Xenopus tropicalis: one gene and its partners. The protein of the gene in region 2 binds, or shares a complex with, the protein of the main gene of each other region. Links are inferred from orthologs where the notes say so. Each region holds a gene or a part of one and is shown on either strand. Other genes may lie near its edges. The genes, in order: usp39, lsm4, lsm8 and lsm3.

Evidence for each region.
Region 1: lsm4 (region 2) and usp39 share a complex: the UniProt entries of both Homo sapiens proteins name them as parts of the U4/U6-U5 tri-snRNP complex. The link is inferred for Xenopus tropicalis from reciprocal best matches to the Homo sapiens genes LSM4 and USP39.
Region 3: lsm4 (region 2) and lsm8 share a complex: the UniProt entries of both Homo sapiens proteins name them as parts of the precatalytic spliceosome. The link is inferred for Xenopus tropicalis from reciprocal best matches to the Homo sapiens genes LSM4 and LSM8.
Region 4: lsm4 (region 2) and lsm3 share a complex: the UniProt entries of both Homo sapiens proteins name them as parts of the precatalytic spliceosome. The link is inferred for Xenopus tropicalis from reciprocal best matches to the Homo sapiens genes LSM4 and LSM3.

The regions. Positions count from the first base shown.
Region 1 is NC_030679.2:125,759,333-125,763,535, forward strand, and holds the start of usp39 (U4/U6.U5 tri-snRNP-associated protein 2), read left to right. Parts: upstream 1-1,371; 5' UTR 1,372-1,396; coding exon 1,397-1,466; intron 1,467-2,296; coding exon 2,297-2,372; intron 2,373-2,448; coding exon 2,449-2,543; intron 2,544-2,630; coding exon 2,631-2,767; intron 2,768-3,577; coding exon 3,578-3,730; intron 3,731-3,929; coding exon 3,930-4,155; intron 4,156-4,203. Other genes in the region: UPF0561 protein C2orf68 homolog, read right to left, coding at 1,016-1,116.
Region 2 is NC_030677.2:103,364,909-103,369,102, forward strand, and holds the start of lsm4 (U6 snRNA-associated Sm-like protein LSm4), read left to right. Parts: upstream 1-1,333; 5' UTR 1,334-1,359; coding exon 1,360-1,362; exon of another isoform or gene 1,363-1,375; intron 1,376-4,194. UniProt on the Homo sapiens protein: Plays a role in pre-mRNA splicing as component of the U4/U6-U5 tri-snRNP complex that is involved in spliceosome assembly, and as component of the precatalytic spliceosome (spliceosome B complex).
Region 3 is NC_030679.2:68,680,131-68,684,446, forward strand, and holds the start of lsm8 (LSM8 homolog, U6 small nuclear RNA associated), read left to right. Parts: upstream 1-1,509; 5' UTR 1,510-1,635; coding exon 1,636-1,666; intron 1,667-3,875; coding exon 3,876-3,916; intron 3,917-4,316. UniProt on the Homo sapiens protein: Plays a role in pre-mRNA splicing as component of the U4/U6-U5 tri-snRNP complex that is involved in spliceosome assembly, and as component of the precatalytic spliceosome (spliceosome B complex).
Region 4 is NC_030680.2:132,918,357-132,922,710, reverse strand, and holds the start of lsm3 (U6 snRNA-associated Sm-like protein LSm3), read left to right. Parts: upstream 1-1,551; 5' UTR 1,552-1,564; coding exon 1,565-1,585; intron 1,586-4,354. Other genes in the region: xpc (DNA repair protein complementing XP-C cells), read right to left, coding at 92-233, 785-869. UniProt on the Homo sapiens protein: Plays a role in pre-mRNA splicing as component of the U4/U6-U5 tri-snRNP complex that is involved in spliceosome assembly, and as component of the precatalytic spliceosome (spliceosome B complex).

The DNA of each region.
Region 1 (4,203 bases), on a different chromosome or scaffold from region 2:
ATTTGCCCCTGCATGATTTCAGCTCAGGGGTGACTAAATGTTCTATAATGCCCAACCACTAATCACCAGTCTAGGCCCTTCCAGTGCACTCTTGGGTCAGGTGATAATCGTTAGGAAATGGCTAGTGCCCTGTTTTTGAGCATGCCCACACTGGTATATAGTAATTTTGAAAACAACCCAGAATGCTAGTAGACCAATGGCTGTGACAGTTTGACATGCAAGGCTCCTGCAAAGTTCCTAAAAGGTACCTAGTTTGCCCATGAGCAGTAACCCATATAGGGTTGCCATCTTCTGACTGGGGAATGCCTGTGTGGGAGGCAGAACGGTGATGTCATGGGGTGAGGCGGATGATGTTGGAGGTGTGGTCTATGACATTGAGGGATTTGGTGGGGTTATGACATGGCGATCGGTGCCAGGAGTTCTGTCCGATTTCCCTCATTTGGAAAATGGGGCAGGGAGTTTGACCCGGACAGACAGACGTGGCAACCCTAAACCCATAGCAACCAATAAGATATGTGCTTTACAATAGGTGACCAGTAAATTCTACCTGCTGACTGGTTCCATCAGTTGCTGCTCCTGGGAAAACTTAGTGCCTTTTATTAAATAGCCCCATCCAAGTTTAAAAAGGTGCGGACTTTAAAAGTGGGTGTGGTCACTTCAAAATCTCAACAGGAATCCGCTAGAGAAGCATGAATGGGACAGCCCTTTTGGAACTGAACAGCTGCCTCCACTGCCCAAAGGAGTTTGGCTACACAAATATTGGAATTTCAGAAGCAAATCTGTCATTTATTTAGCAAGGAAACACTAGTTCATATTTCAGTGCATTTGAAGTCCTGCCAGCTTTAGGAACACAAGTACCAGGCAATGCCATGGCAGGGATGGTATATGAATAGATTGGCCCCAACAGCACCAGTATAACCTTCATGGAAGCAGCCCCATGGCCAACACTACGTGAACAGTCTCAGTGTTTCTGCTTTTTAAAGGAAAAAGTTCCGGCCGCTGCCAGCCCTATTACCTCGCGATCTGATTCCGCCGGATATGGTGAACGAAGCCGTGATTCATATCCAGCCTCCCACCGGGCCCGGCTTTGCCCTGCACCTCCACTTCCTCCTGCATACTCCCGGCTCTAGTCTACTTCCAACACGGGCACCCTTTCAATCCCAATACCGCCCCCTAGCTACCGCTGGTAGGAACTATCCCGTCGCAGCCGATTGTAGGAGAGATAGCGATTGGCTGTTTTTGTTTCGACAAAGGCTAATGTAGCCAATCAATGCATCCCTGACATTAGCGTTCCGTGACTCGTTCCTGTTGTATAGGAAAGTGTACGGAAGCGGCGTGGGGGAGGGGCTTCAGTCCAAAGAGAGGCGAGACACGCAGGAGAGTCGGTGGAGGCAGAATGAACGCTGAGAAGCGGGTGAAACTGGAGATGGAGGAGGAAGACGACGACGATGATGATGATGAGAGAGGTGAGGGAAACTCATTCTATTGATGCGACTTGGTGTGAATAGTGTAACGGATTGATTGAGTAAAAGCGAATGAAAAAGAGTGGTGCACATGTGTTAGCGTGGGGGGATAATAAATATGTGCTTCCTCCGCTTGTGTCTGTCACTGTGTCAGAGAAGGAATTTCTCCAGGGCCCTCACCATTACTAGGGCCCCCACCATTACTAGGGCCCCCACCATTACCGGGGCCCCCACCATTACCGGGGCCCCCACCATTACCAGGGCCCCCACCATTACTAGGGCCCCCACCATTACTAGGGCCCCCACCATTACAAGGGCCCCCACCATTACTAGGGCCCCCACCATTACCGGGGCCCCCACCATTACCGGGGCCCCCACCATTACCGGGGCCCCCACCATTACCGGGGCCCCCACCATTACCGGGGCCCCCACCATTACCGGGGCCCCCACCATTACTAGGGCCCCCACCGAGAAAATATGGAATCCCCCCCAAAACAGGATCATTAAACCTGTTTTGTCAGTGCTCCGGCCATGTCTGTGCATGGTGTCCCAGCATGGTACCTCTAAAGCTGGACACAAGGATGGCTGATTGGACCATTTAGGTCATTAATTTCTGTATGAAACTAGGTTCACATTTGCTGCCACCCTCTGATCCCTACCTGTGATTTTAGCCCAAGTAATGGCAGTGTCACTCTTCCATAATGTTTTCCTGGCAATCCAAGTGTGATTTGCAGGCCAAGCAGTTTAAGTGGGTGATACAGGTGAATTGTGCATGTTTAACTTCAGAACTGTACATATAACATATATATAACACGTGCATGTAATGCTGGCAGTTGTAGGAAAGCACGGGCGGTATGACTTTGAAGACAGACGTAGTCGCCATTGCCCATATCTGGATACCATTAACAGGTCAGTCTGGTTGTTTTGCTTGGGACTGTGTTGATTATGTACTGCTCACAAATAACACTGGTTCTGTTCTTACCAGGAGTGTCTTGGACTTTGATTTTGAGAAGCTGTGTTCCATCTCTCTTTCTCACATTAATGCATATGCTTGCCTTGTATGCGGGAAATACTTCCAGGGTAAGTAAGTGGCACAGAGTGTGTTGTTCAGATGAGCCCTTATTTTGTCAAATTTTTCTCTTTTTTTTTTTTTTTTCCCCCCCCAAGGTCGAGGCTTGAAGTCCCATGCCTATATCCACAGTGTTCAGTTCAGTCACCATGTTTTCCTTAATCTGCACACACTGAAGTTCTACTGCCTGCCGGACAACTATAATATCATTGACTCCTCCCTGGAAGACATTACGGTACTTGCACATCCTCTCTTGCCCCATTTGTTTATGTGACCTTGGCATTTTCTAATATGAAGACAAAAAATCAGGATGGCCCAGTTCATATTTGCCCAAGGTGCAATCTTAGTGCCCAGTACAAGTGGTATGGCGTTCCCAGAGTTTTTAGAGTGCACTGTTGACTTATATAACACAGGTGTCGGTAAGTTAAAGACTCTTATACTCTTAGACTCTTATACTCAAGAGCAACAATCCCTTCACTAACTTGATGTGTCTATCACAACACATACGTCTCCTTTAGTGAGTTCAACCACAGCCAGCAATTAGGATGGGAAAGGTAGAATAGCATATTATCCGCAAAAGAGCCATGGATCACCTGTACTGCTCTGATCATGCAACACACAGCAGGGCATACATCAAAAAGCAGATTTTATGGTCAGTAACAGGGAAACATAAGCCCAGTGATGGCAGAAATGTCTAGCTCCACTAGCTGCCTGTTGCCTTAGCATTTTTCCCCTTCCTTTGGCTGGCCCCCATTCTTCAGTACAGTCTTTCAAAGTTCTTTTTTTTTTTTTTTTTTTTTTTTTTTTTTTTATATAAGTGTGAATCTACACATGGAAACAAGGACTGGGTTTCTCCTTGGATTGAGAACATAGATGGCCTCAGGCCATAAGAGAGAAAGGTAGCTGTTCTTACAGAAGTAAAGGGCTTTGTAAAATGTGCACATTATTTCTATACTGTCTCTGTCTGTTCAACTGTGTCACCCCCCCCCCCCCATATTAACTTTGCTTTTCATGTTTTTAGTAACTATCTCTTTGTCTTCTACAGTATGTGCTGAAGCCAACCTTCACCAAGCAGCAAATTGGTAACTTAGACAAACAGGCCAAGCTTTCTCGAGCATATGATGGTACCACTTACCTCCCAGGCATCGTGGGACTTAACAATATCAAAGCTAATGATTATGCCAATGCTGTTTTGCAGGTAGGAATTTTCACAATATACAGGGCCTGTGTAACAGTTAACCACCTCACCTTCACTGCAGCAGAGAATCATCTCTCATCTATTTCACTGGATGCCCTAACATTCATCAGTCTGAAACACTTTAAACACTTTTGCTCCCACAGACCATAGTGCAGATTTCATGGCCAATGTACACTAATTTCTTTATGGTCACTTCCAGGCTCTCTCCAATGTTCCTCCTCTGAGAAATTACTTTCTGGAGGAAGAGAATTATTGTGATATTAAGCGCCCTCCTGGGGATATCATGTTCCTGCTTGTGCAGAGATTTGGGGAATTAATGCGCAAACTGTGGAACCCCAGGAATTTTAAGGCTCATGTCTCCCCACATGAGATGCTCCAGGCTGTTGTTCTTTGCAGCAAGAAAAATTTCCAGATCACCAAGCAAGGTGAATATCTCCACCCCTCTGTCCTGTTTTTTTCTGTTTATCTGAACA
Region 2 (4,194 bases):
CGAGAATTATCCCCATGTGGCACTAGCCTAAATTCTAAGCCCCAAATGATCGGCCAATTAGTGATCTCCAGGTCATAGCTACACCCCCTTAAAGCACTAACGACTCTACGACATCACCTACAACCCCCCTGATGTCACCCGCCCTGCCTACCTTCCGGATTTAGCTAAATGAAAAGATGACATCCCTAGTTGGAATGTGAATTTCTTTTTCCATAGATTATTAGCAACCCACATTAAATCTAATTGCTTGCCTGATACCCCAGGCTGGTCCTCCTGTTCCCTACAAAATTGCACTGGCTTAGGGTATTTCTAAAGAAGCTGCTCTTCACCATATTGTTTGACTTCTTTGTTCCAGTCCAGGCAGGCATATAAGCAGTAAAGTGAAAAACTGAGCTTTTTCGCCCTAACGCGCCCAAAGAAATGAAGGCAGAAGAGAAGATTGCACCAAAAGAGCTTCTTCAGAAATACCCTGGTCCAGTGCAGTTTTCAGCTAATAGGAGCACTTTCCCAGGGCATCAAGTAAGTGATTTTAATAAACAGGATTAATATTTTTCAAATATATGTCAAACCCAAAAATAATCTTTTTCCTAATAAAAGAAAACTTAATTCTAAGCAACTTTGCAATATACATTCATTACATATTTGTAATGGTTTTTGAGTTATTTGTATATATATACCAGCTATTAAAAGCAGTGTCTGCTTGTCCTTTTTATTCTCTACCCTGAGGGGTCTGGTGTTTGAAACAATGTAACAAACACCAGCAGATTTTACAGACCTGACTTGCTGGAGGAGCCTGGCACTTGCAACATTGTTTAAAATGTAACAACCAGGAGTTCAGCAAATGCTGCTTTCTATAGCATTACATTACATTTACAAATAACTTTTAAAGCACTAATAATCTTTAATAAATTGATATTGGAAAGTTGCTTAGAATTGTTTTCTTTTATTAGGCAAAACATTTTTGGGGGGTTGACATGTCCTTTAGCGCGCTGTGACTAGATATAATGAATAGCAGACTACCCTTCCACAACTACCAGAAACCACACTTCCCTTTGTTCGCTTAGTCATACTAATTTTAGAATACTATATAATCCCCTCTGCACCAAATAAATGTTTGTTTTTCTACGTCAGTTCCCTATAAGCAGAAACTACAGAACTCCTCTTTCCCTTAACCACGATGGCAGCGCCTTATGATCACATGGCCTGTTTATTCGACACCACCATTGGTGGATAGGACTAGCCCGATACTATTGGTACAGGAAGGTGTCACCAAAGGCTTCCTTTGCCCAACAGTCTCTGCGCTTGTTGTCTGAGCAACGGGCGGAAGTGACCGTGAGGGAGCGCGGTACAGAGCGAAACATGGCGAGTTACCTGGGTGGGACACGGGGTTTGACTACATTCGCCTGCGTTGTTCTTATAGCTAGAAATGGCGATATACTTGATTTGTGTGCTTACAATTTGGGCATGTTATAACCATTTAGTCTTACTAGTTTCTCTGTCACTCCTAGCCGGCATGTATGTTCCCGCCTGTCCTGTTAACTCATTGTTACACAGAATCGTCTCGGGTTTTTTTTAGTTCTATCAGGGTCCCGTTGCGGGCGAGCTCTGCAGCTTTATTTGTCTGGGTTAGGGAGAAGCTGGTGGAAGGACCTCTTGTGCAACATGTTTTCTTTAGATAATTGATTGGCTCATATAATCAGTGAAGGGGGATTTTTGGATACTGGTCTGAGAATTAAATATTTTACATATATTATAGGCAAACTATACCCCCTGACTGAGTACTTAACCAACAGATACATTATTTACTAAAAAGGAACCTATTAAAGAATGTTACCAAATTGGAATATATATTGGTTAATATTGGCCTTTTCCACATTGAGCCACCATTTAGTGATGGGCTGTGTGCTCCCTCAGAGATCACGTCAGGGAATAATGCAGCTCTAGTGTGTATTAAGATATTATTCATATCTTTTCACATTTAATTATAAGTTTTAGATTTCACTTTTTTGATTAACTTGTATAATTTGTGCTTAGTACAGGGCGGGCGGTTTTTCTTTGGGAGGCCCTGTAAGATGTATATTTGAAGCTTTGATATAGTATGTGCTTATTACAGGGCTTTAATGGTAACCCCGAAAAAGCTTTTGATATAGTAATGTATGATATATGCTTGTTACAGGGCCTTAATGGTAACCCTGAAAAATGTGCAAATTAAAAGTTTTGGGTATAAAAAGGGAAGTGACATGGGCATTCCTCTGATGAAGCACTTAGTGTGCGAAACGCGTTAGGAAGGAGAAAGGGTGCCAGGTAGCATGGGATGTACCTTCCATTTGGTATAGTATGTTTTATGTTATGTTTTTTGAATTTTGTATTTAAATTCTGAGCCAATAAATGGTTGTGTTTTTCACTGAATAATGTGTTTAATTATTGTATGGTATTTCAGGACCTTTCAGTGAGATACATCTTAGGTTTTCTTTCTCAATCTTACTAATTGTTATTTAATAATGCAGCTCTACCTGTAACAGGAAGAAATGTGGGAGTAAAAGTCAGAACTGTCCCCATTAATTGGCTCATGTACCCTAACATATATGTGTGTTTGTGTGCACTGTGAATCATTTCATAACAGGGGGTGGCCCTTAGTAATTAAAATGACTTTTTTTTTAACTTAGAATTATCCATGGTCACATACTGCTACAAAAGTATATTTTTATGAAAATTGTGTATTTTGATGAAGCAGTGCTTTAACTATGATCTGCTTTTTGTAAAATATTATTTTAGAGACCTGCATTGTTTGGGGGTATAGTTTTCCCTTGGCAATGTCCATCATGTGCTCTGAAAGTATGCATTTATAAAGAGTTAGTGACACAGCATATCATTTAGATTTTCTTTTTGAAAGGTCTTAGCAATCTTACTTTTTTAACTTACATCATGGGGCATTGTTCATTATTGGGTAAAAACAGATTACATTTTAAACATAATAAGTGAATGCAAAGTCCCAAATTAAAAAATTGTGCAAAAAGTCATGCATCTGTATTAAACTTGGTTAGAAAGTTCAGTAGTTAGTATAATAATAAGATAAGCACTACACTGGTTTTAATTTTGTTTCATATGCTTACTATTGAAGTGTGAAATTTTGGCATAAATTCTACTGTATGGTAATAGCTTTTATGTAATTAAGGTCAACAAGGATGCTTATTATTATTATTATTATAGTATTATTTATTATATATTATATTATTTAAAAGGACACATCATTATTGAAATAAAATAAGTTCTGCATCTTTAATAATGTGCCATCCAGCACACCACAGATAGCAAAATTGACAGTATAAATATGTTGCTTAAAACCTCTTATATTGCAAGTGTGTAATAAACAAGATAGGCAGAAATTGGAGTAGCATCATAAATAATTAAATGCTCCTTATTGGTGGGCTTGTTTCAAAGGGGAAGTTAACTGTTGCATTGGCATTAGGCATGTTATAGCTGGACCTGGCCAGGGGCTCTTCCTTTTTGGCTTTTTTCAGTCTGAAGATACAAATACTGTCAAGTTGTTGGGATCCTTGACCCTGGCAACTACAACAGATTTAATGTAAAGCTTTATTTTATTATTACAGGTCGTATTATTATTATTATTCCTTTCATCCCCCCCTTATTTTTACCTTGCAGTTTGATTTCAAAAAAGCTTTTTGATTCTTAGCATCCACATATGTTTTTGTTTCAAGCATTAGAATATCATTTTTTGCATAAAAAAAATTAAAAAAAGAAACAATCTGTGGCAAGGTGTAGCTTGTATTAGAATCCAGTTGTATATGCCTGAGTTAAAGTTAATCCTAAGGTCTCACTTTAATGACTTTAGTAAGTACAGAGTTTTGAAACCTATGTAAATGGGTTATTTTCTACAGGCCTCACACACTTGGGTCCAAAACACTGGTAAATTGACCTATTCTATCAAGATATATTGAAATTGCTCATTAGTTATGGCTCCGCTGGACTGCCTACACTCGTAGGCCCCTCTGCAACAGCAGGGTAAAAAAAAAGATGAAACAATGAAACAAATTGAAGGAGATATTGTCCTTGTGGAGGGCCCTAAAAAAAGCTCCACATTTGTTCTTTTGGCTTTCAGTCTGACAGCCTTGCTCTAAACAATCAGTGGGAATGAAGTGTTTTATTTTTCCTTATTTATTTAATGAGGCTGTT
Region 3 (4,316 bases), on a different chromosome or scaffold from region 2:
TGTGCTAAACTCCAGTCTGTCAAAGCACCTCTCCCAGACGATCACTTTGGTTAAGCTGGTTAAAAATGGCCACTCGACTTAGAGAAAAACATCATTTCTACAGTGTACCTAACCCCTCGTGAGTCTGGGTCTCCTCTTAATGCACATAAAACATTAATTTTTTGTTGCTACCAGTCCATTAAGTAGGGAGACGTTATTACTGACACCCATTTATTTTAGGTGACTTTAAGGGTCATATCAACCACTAGGTGTGGCTAGTGTATATTAGCTAGTGTATATTAGCTGGCAGAGAAATGCCTAAAGCCACCTTAAATTATTGGGATGGAGTATAGGCAGTTTTGCCTGTTTACCTGCTCACTAAGGGGCTGATTTACTAATCCACGAATCCGAATGGGAAAAATTCAGATTGGAAAACGAACATTTTGCGACTTTTTCGTATTTTTTGCGATTTTTTTCGTCGCCGTTACAACTTTTTCGTAACCATTACGACTTGCGCGAATTGTCGCGACTTTTTCGTAGCCGTTACGATTTGCTCGTATATTGTCGCAACTTTTTTGTATTGAGCGCTCGTAAATGGCGGGCAAACCTTTCAGACTTTGCATGATTTTGGAAGCCTCCCATAGGACTCAATGGTACTCTACAGCTCCAACCTGGCCCAAGAAAAGTCATGATACTGAAGCTTGAATGAATCCGAAACTTTTGTACTCGGCGCGACGGCTCCGAAAAAGTTGCGATAATTTGCGCAAATCATAATGGTTACGAAAAAGTCGTGACAATTTACGAAAAAAATCGCAAAATACCGATCATTACGAAAAAAACACATTCGGAGCATTTGTGGATTAGTAAATGTGCCCCTAAAACTCAAGACAGCACAAGCAGTGCTATTAGCCTATGGAGGCACTATCAGTTCAGGCAGCTGAATCCTTCACCAGAGGAAAGGGAAGGGGGGGGGGGTGACATCACTCCAACTTGCAGTGCAGCAGTAAAAAAAGACAAGTATTTAGAGCAGGGCCACCTGGACTAGTAAGGAAATGGCTAGCCCCATGTGTTATTATTAATTATATAATAAACACGTATTCCCATGACAGTATTGCTTTAACCCATGGTTCAAAAACATAATTTCACTTCTAGCAATAGGTTTCTCTCTCCAAAATAAACCTGATTACTAGGGATGCACTGAATCCAGGATTCGGCCTTTTGAAAATGTAACCTCTCCGTAACCTAATCAGCATATGCTAATGAAGATTTAACCCTTCCATAACCTAATTAGCACCTGCTAATTCGGATTCAGTTAGGTATTCTACCAAACCCTTTACAATGGATTCGGCGCTGATTACATATGCGATCTTTACCACATCAGAAACGTTAGTTATCTAACATCATAACTGGAGTCAAAGCATTTTCCCATACAATATTCCCTCCTATTATCTTCCCAGCTCAGAAATACGCTATCATTAAGAAACCAACGCACACACACACGCACAAAATGAATGCAAACTTCAGATAACGCGCACTTGCTCCTTTCACTAAGGGGCGGGGCTTTGCTCAGTCGCCTAACAATGACGTAGAATTTCCTCGCTAGAGCCGTGGATTTCCTGCGCGTGTGTTTGTAGTTGCAGCGGATACGATTCCAATATGGCATCAGCTTTGGAGAATTATATCAACCGTATCCTTTGTTGGGGTTGTTGGCATAATATGCGGAGGGCTTGCACTGAGAACCTATGGTGTGCGACTTTTAACCCGACGGTCAGAATAAACATGCAGATTAGCAGTCTCCCCTGCTCTCTGAGCTCGGCTGCTACAACTCTCTGATACCGGGGTATTGTGGGAAATGTAGCCTAGCACGGCTTGGGGGCTATTGTTTGGAAAGCGACTTGTGCTAGAGAAATACAGTATGTGGGGGATGCATGTTACTTCATCATTCGTCTGAGGGTCCTAAGTAGCTTTAATTACAGTTTATCGTCCGGTTCCTGTATTCCCTGGGGGAACCCCGACTTACTTATCACAGGGCCAATGTTGACCTGGGCTGTAACCCCTAGCAACCAATTACCAGTTAGCGTCTGTTTTTTTATTTTTTAGCCAGCTGAAAGTATAACAGGTGGTATTCATTTTAAACCTCCCTTTTAAATGAATGCCTGTTAGTGCCCTTTCCCCCTGTAACTTACCTATAGTGTGAAATGCTCAAATCTAATGCGAGGGGATGATATTATACATGGAGTGAGGGGATGATATTATACATGGAGCACGGGTTTGCCTATGTTACATTTGCTTGGCTATATTATTCTATGTTAAATTAGAACTCTAGTAGGAAAACTGCTGTGGTCCAGAAGCACTGACATTCAGTAATATACAGTAATACACTATTGTGCGGCTAGTAGGAAAAGTATTTCATTTTTCAATAAAAAAAAGTGAGAATTTTTCAGTACATCAGTATAGCGTTTTATTACAGGTACGGGGCCTGTTAACCAGAATGTCCTGGACTTGGGGTTTTCCGGATAAGCGGTCTTTCTGTAATTTGGATCTCCTACCTTAAAGGAACAGTAACAGCATAAAATGAAAGTGTTTTAAAGTAATTGAAATATAACGCACTGTTGCCCTGCAATGGTAAAACTCGGGTGTTTGCTTCAGGAACACTACTATAGTTTATATAAATACACTGCTGTGTAGCCATGGGGGCAGCCATTCAAGCTGGAAAAAAGGAGAAAAGGCACAGGTTACATAGCAAATAACAGATAAGACACCATTGTATTCTACAGGGTTTATCTGTTAGCTGCTGTATAACCTGTGCCTTTTCTTCTTTTGAATGGCTGCCCCCATGGCTACACACCAGGGTTTATATAAACTCTAGTAATGTTTCTGAAGCAAACACACAATTTTTACCAATGCAGCGCAGCAGTACGTTATAGTTTAATTTCTTTAAAATATATACATTTTTTGGTGTTACTGTTCCTTTAAGTCTACTAAGAAATAATTTAAACATTAAATAAACCCAATAAGGTTGATTTGCATCCAATAAGGATTCATTCTATCTTAGTTGGGATCAAGTACAAGGTACTGTTTTATTATTACAGAGCAGCCATTTTTAAAAATCGGAATTATTTGATTAAAATGGCATCTATGGCAGATGACCTTCCTGTAATTCGGAACTTTCTGGATAACGGGTTTCCGGATAAGGGATCCCATACCTGTACTACAGGTTTATATAATGCATTAAAAGCAAAAGTGGAGAAAACATTTTGCATGATTATATACAACAGGGGATCTTAGAGCAATAAGCAATATTGGGTACCGGAAGTCAGAGGTATCATAAACTGAGGATTTGTGTACTGACTCCACAGCCCTGGGGGCTCTTAAGCTGAGTGATGTACCCCATTGGGCACTATACAGTATACTGACGATATGCAATAAATAGTAAATTAAAGGAGGGAGGCATCCTTCATTCTAAACCAAATTCTGGGTTACAAAGCTGACTCCCAGAGTAATATAAATTACATGTTAGAAGAGACGGGAATGTAAGCTGCACTTCTGGATACAAAATTGAATACATTAAAAATAATTTTTGCAAACTTCAAAATGCTTTTTCCAACATTATATTATGAGGTGTTGAAGTAGACTTTTTATTTTTTCAAGGATCCATGGTCCAAAAATTCGTAATATTAACTTCACTTGTGGCCCCTGTAGCCTGACTACCCTGTAATGTGTTTTATGCCATTGTCCAACCTTAGAGAAAATGTGAATATGTTGTAGTTAAGGGAATCGCACACATTACAGTAGATGATGCATTATAAAGAACTCGTTTCACTTTGAAAATGGTGCTCTATATTTTTTATGATAACGTTTTACAGATTAAAATAATTCCTTGACATAAGATTCAGGAACTGTAGCTGTAATTACATCAGATGGTAGAATGATTGTGGTAAGTATTTATTTACTTTACTTGCTTAATATTTGCTATTAGAATTACATTCATATATTTCCTCAGCATGTATCTGTAGGTGGAGCCAGGCCCAAGATCCTTTGGAGGAGAATAAGCAAATCTAATGAAGCAGTGCTTCTATCTGTACTGTGTTTTGTATCAAAGTGCTTGGCTAGGTACAGATGCTCATTTTTCACCTTCTGTTGACATTACACTTTGGTCCTGAAGTTCTGGTTGTGGCAAGTTCAACCTTTGCTATAGCTGCATTTTTAAGCACTACACAAAGTGAATGCATAGCCATATCTAGAAGGATTTAATGATCCTAAGGAGCTGCTTTTTTATTTTGCTTATGATGATGTCTTGTCTGGGGCTCAGTGAATCCTGATCTCTAACTCACACT
Region 4 (4,354 bases), on a different chromosome or scaffold from region 2:
TATTGACACAAGAATAAGCAAACATGGAGCAGACTTAGTGCATCTCTCCTGCATTGTTGTAAAACCAATCAACTCAACCAAGATGACTCACTGTGTTTGTTTTCCAACTGTTTTCCCATCATTTACAGTCGGTCTCTTGGCTACACAACTTTGCTTCGTCAGACTGTCACCGCAGGAATCTTTACTCTTCTTAACTGGGGGTCTCTTCTCTTCATAGAATTTATCTTCGTCATCTACATGGTTAAAACAAGATGCCCCTTTATTAAATAGGAAGGATGAAGAGCTAAGTGCAAACGACCTGTAATGTTCCACCAGAGCCCAAAGCATTGGTAGTTAATCATTTAGCACAGAAATAAAAGCCCATGCACAATTCAAGGGCTAACTCTGCCTATCTTTTAATATTGTCCAGATGGCATAATACTAACACAATCTGCAACTGGTCTTTATTTTTTATTTCATCTGGTCTCTGAATTATGTTGTCAAGGTTTGTATTTAATTTATCTGGTTTCTAGGGGTTACCTTAGCAATCATAGAAGAATCTTAAAACCAGTATAGTGAATAGTACAGGGCTGATGCCCATAGGGTTCAATCTGCACTCACTACAGTATTATTCCCAGCCTATTTAGAAACTCTGCACAGTGTCCCCATACAGTACCTATAAGAATTAAGTCTATTTAAGTCTGTGAATTAAGTCTGTGTTTAGATTTCATTTTACGTGTTACTGTATATCATTCACAAGATGAATGAAAATCTCTATAGACATGCAGACCCCATAGAAACTCACCACCATGCAGGGAGTCTATTGCCGGGCGGTTTCTCTGCTTGTTCCCCGCTACCGCAGCACCCTCAGACCCCCTCCGCTTTGCCATCTCCCCACAATTCTACCTCACATGTCCCCTCTGGTTGTATAACCCACACAACAGGAAACAATCTGTCTCAGACAATAACATTAACGCGTCACTTCCGGAACATACACATGTGCACCCCGCTGCCAGGCCTCCGCCACTTACTGCCCATACTCTCACATTATTGGCTGAGCTTCACATTCCGGCCTCCGACACTTACTGCCCATACTCTCACATTATTGGCTGAGCTTCACATTCCGGCCTCCGTCACTTACTGCCCATACTCTTACGCTATTGGCCGAGCTTCACATCCAGGCCTCCGCCTCTTACTGCCCATACTCTCACACTATTGGCTGAGCTACACATTCCGGCCTCCGTCACTTACTGCCCATACTCTCACGCTATTGGCCAAGCGTCACATCCAGGCCTCCGCCACTTACTGCCCATACTCTTACGCTATTGGCCGAGCTTCACATCCAGGCCTCCGCCTCTTACTGCCCATACTCTCACACTATTGGCTGAGCTACACATTCCGGCCTCCGTCACTTACTGCCCATACTCTCACGCTATTGGCCAAGCGTCACATCCAGGCCTCCGCCACTTACTGCCCATACTCTCACGCTATTGGCCGAGCTTCACATTCTTCCTGTGGCACATAAATATCGCGATAGGAGAATTGTCAGGGTTCTCGGCTATTTCCTTTGCGCGGGGTTTTGAAGATGGCGGACGACGGAGAGCAGGTAGGGATGTGGGTTTATAAGACTGGAAAACAGGTTCTGTTCGGTTCTCGGCGCAGTGCGGCATAAGGGGTGCTCCTGGCCCGGTCTCGCTTGGGAACGCGTATAGGGTTTTTTTATGTTGCGGGGAATTAAGTGAATGTTTATTCAAACTGGACTGTTTTCTCTTTTATTTCAAAGCCTTTTTTTTTTTTTAATCGTGAAGCACCGGTGGAGTGTGTTTATATTCATAACTAGCGATGTAAATCTGATTAAAAACCCAGTTGTTGTGGTCAGGAGTAAAATGAAATGTATGTTCTGTGTGGCTGATGGCGTCAATATATTCAAACAATAGAAGCACAAGGCTTGTTTTAGTTTCTATACCTCAGATTTCTGAGTTTATCTCCCAATTGACTCTTGACTCCTGTTTTTTAGGGACACATCCTATAAAATTTAAGAATATACTAGTGAATTATACTCCTAGATATAGGATTGTGCTTAAAAAAAAAAAAAGTTGTTTCGGACTGATTTGAGAATCCCCCCAAACCCCACTAGCCCCGCCCATCTGTTCCACTTCCTGCTGGCTGAATTCTCTGGATGTGCAGGGGAGCCGGGGCACTCTAAGATAGGAACCAATCAGCAGCTAGGCTGACCTGATAGGGAACTGAAGCCTGTCTGTGCTTTTGTGAGTGCAGGGCTGTGATTGGCTCTCCCCCTCCTACTGTTCTTCTAGCAGGGACCGTTAGGACACGCCCACCCCTCATTTGAAACACAGACAGGGACCTGAGAGGATCTATAGGGAGCTCCAATAAAGGGGCCATTGTTACAGATAGGGTTAATGTTTAGCCCAAAATGAAACCAGCACCGGATATTATTCATAATTGCCTACAAAATGAGGGGTTTTCCCATTTATCCAACATGTCTCCTAATTTACTAATGTGTCAATCCATGTTGATTGGAAGAACACAACATACATTTCATCACTGCCAAAGCTCAGCAGTTTGAAAGCTGTATGGAGGTGGTGCATGTTTTTGGGAGCAAACTAAATAACTACTGGCTAGGCAGCTGGTTCACTACCCTATTGGCTGCCCAAGCGGGTCTAAATCTATAACCTAAGTCTGTCATTTTGGCTTTTTATTAAAGACACCACAAGCATTCCTTAAATCTAAAGTTCAAACAAGACAAAAAATGAAAACTGTAAGGTTTTAATAGCTCAGGTTACAAAACAAAAACTGTAGTACCGTGTTAGCCAGTGTCAAAAATAATAATAAAAAAACAACAAGACACAAATACAAGAGTATTGTACTTCACACTAGTGAAACTACACTCTGGGCTTTATTTATAATTAAAATACAAATAGTACAGTTACATTAAAGGTATAGTGCTAAGTGTCCTAGACAAGAGGAAGGAGGTCCCTGCCCCACAGACCTTACAATCCCATGCAGGGGAGAAAAGAAATGCTATTTGGTAACTGTAGATCAAATCTGACTGCTCAAAACAATAAAGGTGCCCATACACAAGCAGATTTTGTCATGTGAAACAACCAGTTTTAAGGTGGCCATACATGGGCTGATTCTAGCTGCCGATATCAGTCCCTTAGACCAATTCGGCAGCTTATTGGCCGTGTATGGGCATTAACGACAGGCCTGCCCAACTGACATCGGGCAGATCTCGATCAGGCAGGTTTAAAAATCAGTCTGATCGGGGACTGCATTGGCTCGTTAATGCAGTCCCCAAACAGACAGACGCCTATGGCCGTCGTCCTAATTCGGACATTTGACCCTGGGGCCAAACGACCGAATTAGCCTGATATTGCCCACCCATAGATGGGGATATTGGGAGAAGATCCGCTTGCTTGGTGACTTCGCAAAGCGAGTGGATCTTAGCGTGTAAGGCCACCTTTACAGTGAACCAATAAAATTTGCTTTATTATTAACTTATTGTTACATTCAGGGGGAAACGATTGTAAAATATACGATCATTTCAACTGCATTGTCCCAACATTTGATCAGATGGGCTTGACCGTTTTTGTCATTAAATCAGTCAGTGGATGAGAGGAACAGATCACAATCATTAGATTAACATTCCCTGCACAAGTCTTTATTTTGATGGGCTAGGTTAAGTGCAAAAGTAAACAATGGAACAGACGGGCATTGGCTAATATATGTTCTTGGAGCCAGCACAACAAAGATATGACAAGTCTTCTCATATATTGACAAATGATCAAGCAAGCTTGAGTTTAGTTGCCTGAGGACCTGCTGCCCTTCACACTTCCCCCCCCCCCCCCCCCCAAAGGTCCTGTGGATGCTGAGTTACTAAACTCATGCAAATACTCTGTACCCCTGCAAGCACTGACACTTGATTGTGTGGCTTAAAAGACTGCTATTGCTAAATATTTGCAACTTATTCACTGGAATATAGAATCAGAAGTGCCATTACTCGTTTAAAGGAAATGTAAACCTTCGAAAGACATGGGGGGGAAAAAAGTCAACTGCAAAAGTGCTCTGAATAGAGTGCTGGGCAGTTTTGAGACTGTTTTCTTGGGTTTACATTTCCTTGAAAGTACTTTTTATAATATCATAATTATAAGGAGGCTAATATATCACGGCACCATCTGCAAAAGAAAGGGGACCAGAATTTGTGGTAAAAGCAGATGATTATTACTTTGCAGCTAAGGGGTTAAACAATATACAGGCAACTCTTATGTATCCAGCAAAAACAGTTTTAAGATAGAGGCAGAAACACAGGACTAGGTTTAAACTGAAAACTATAAATTGAATCATACTAAAAAGA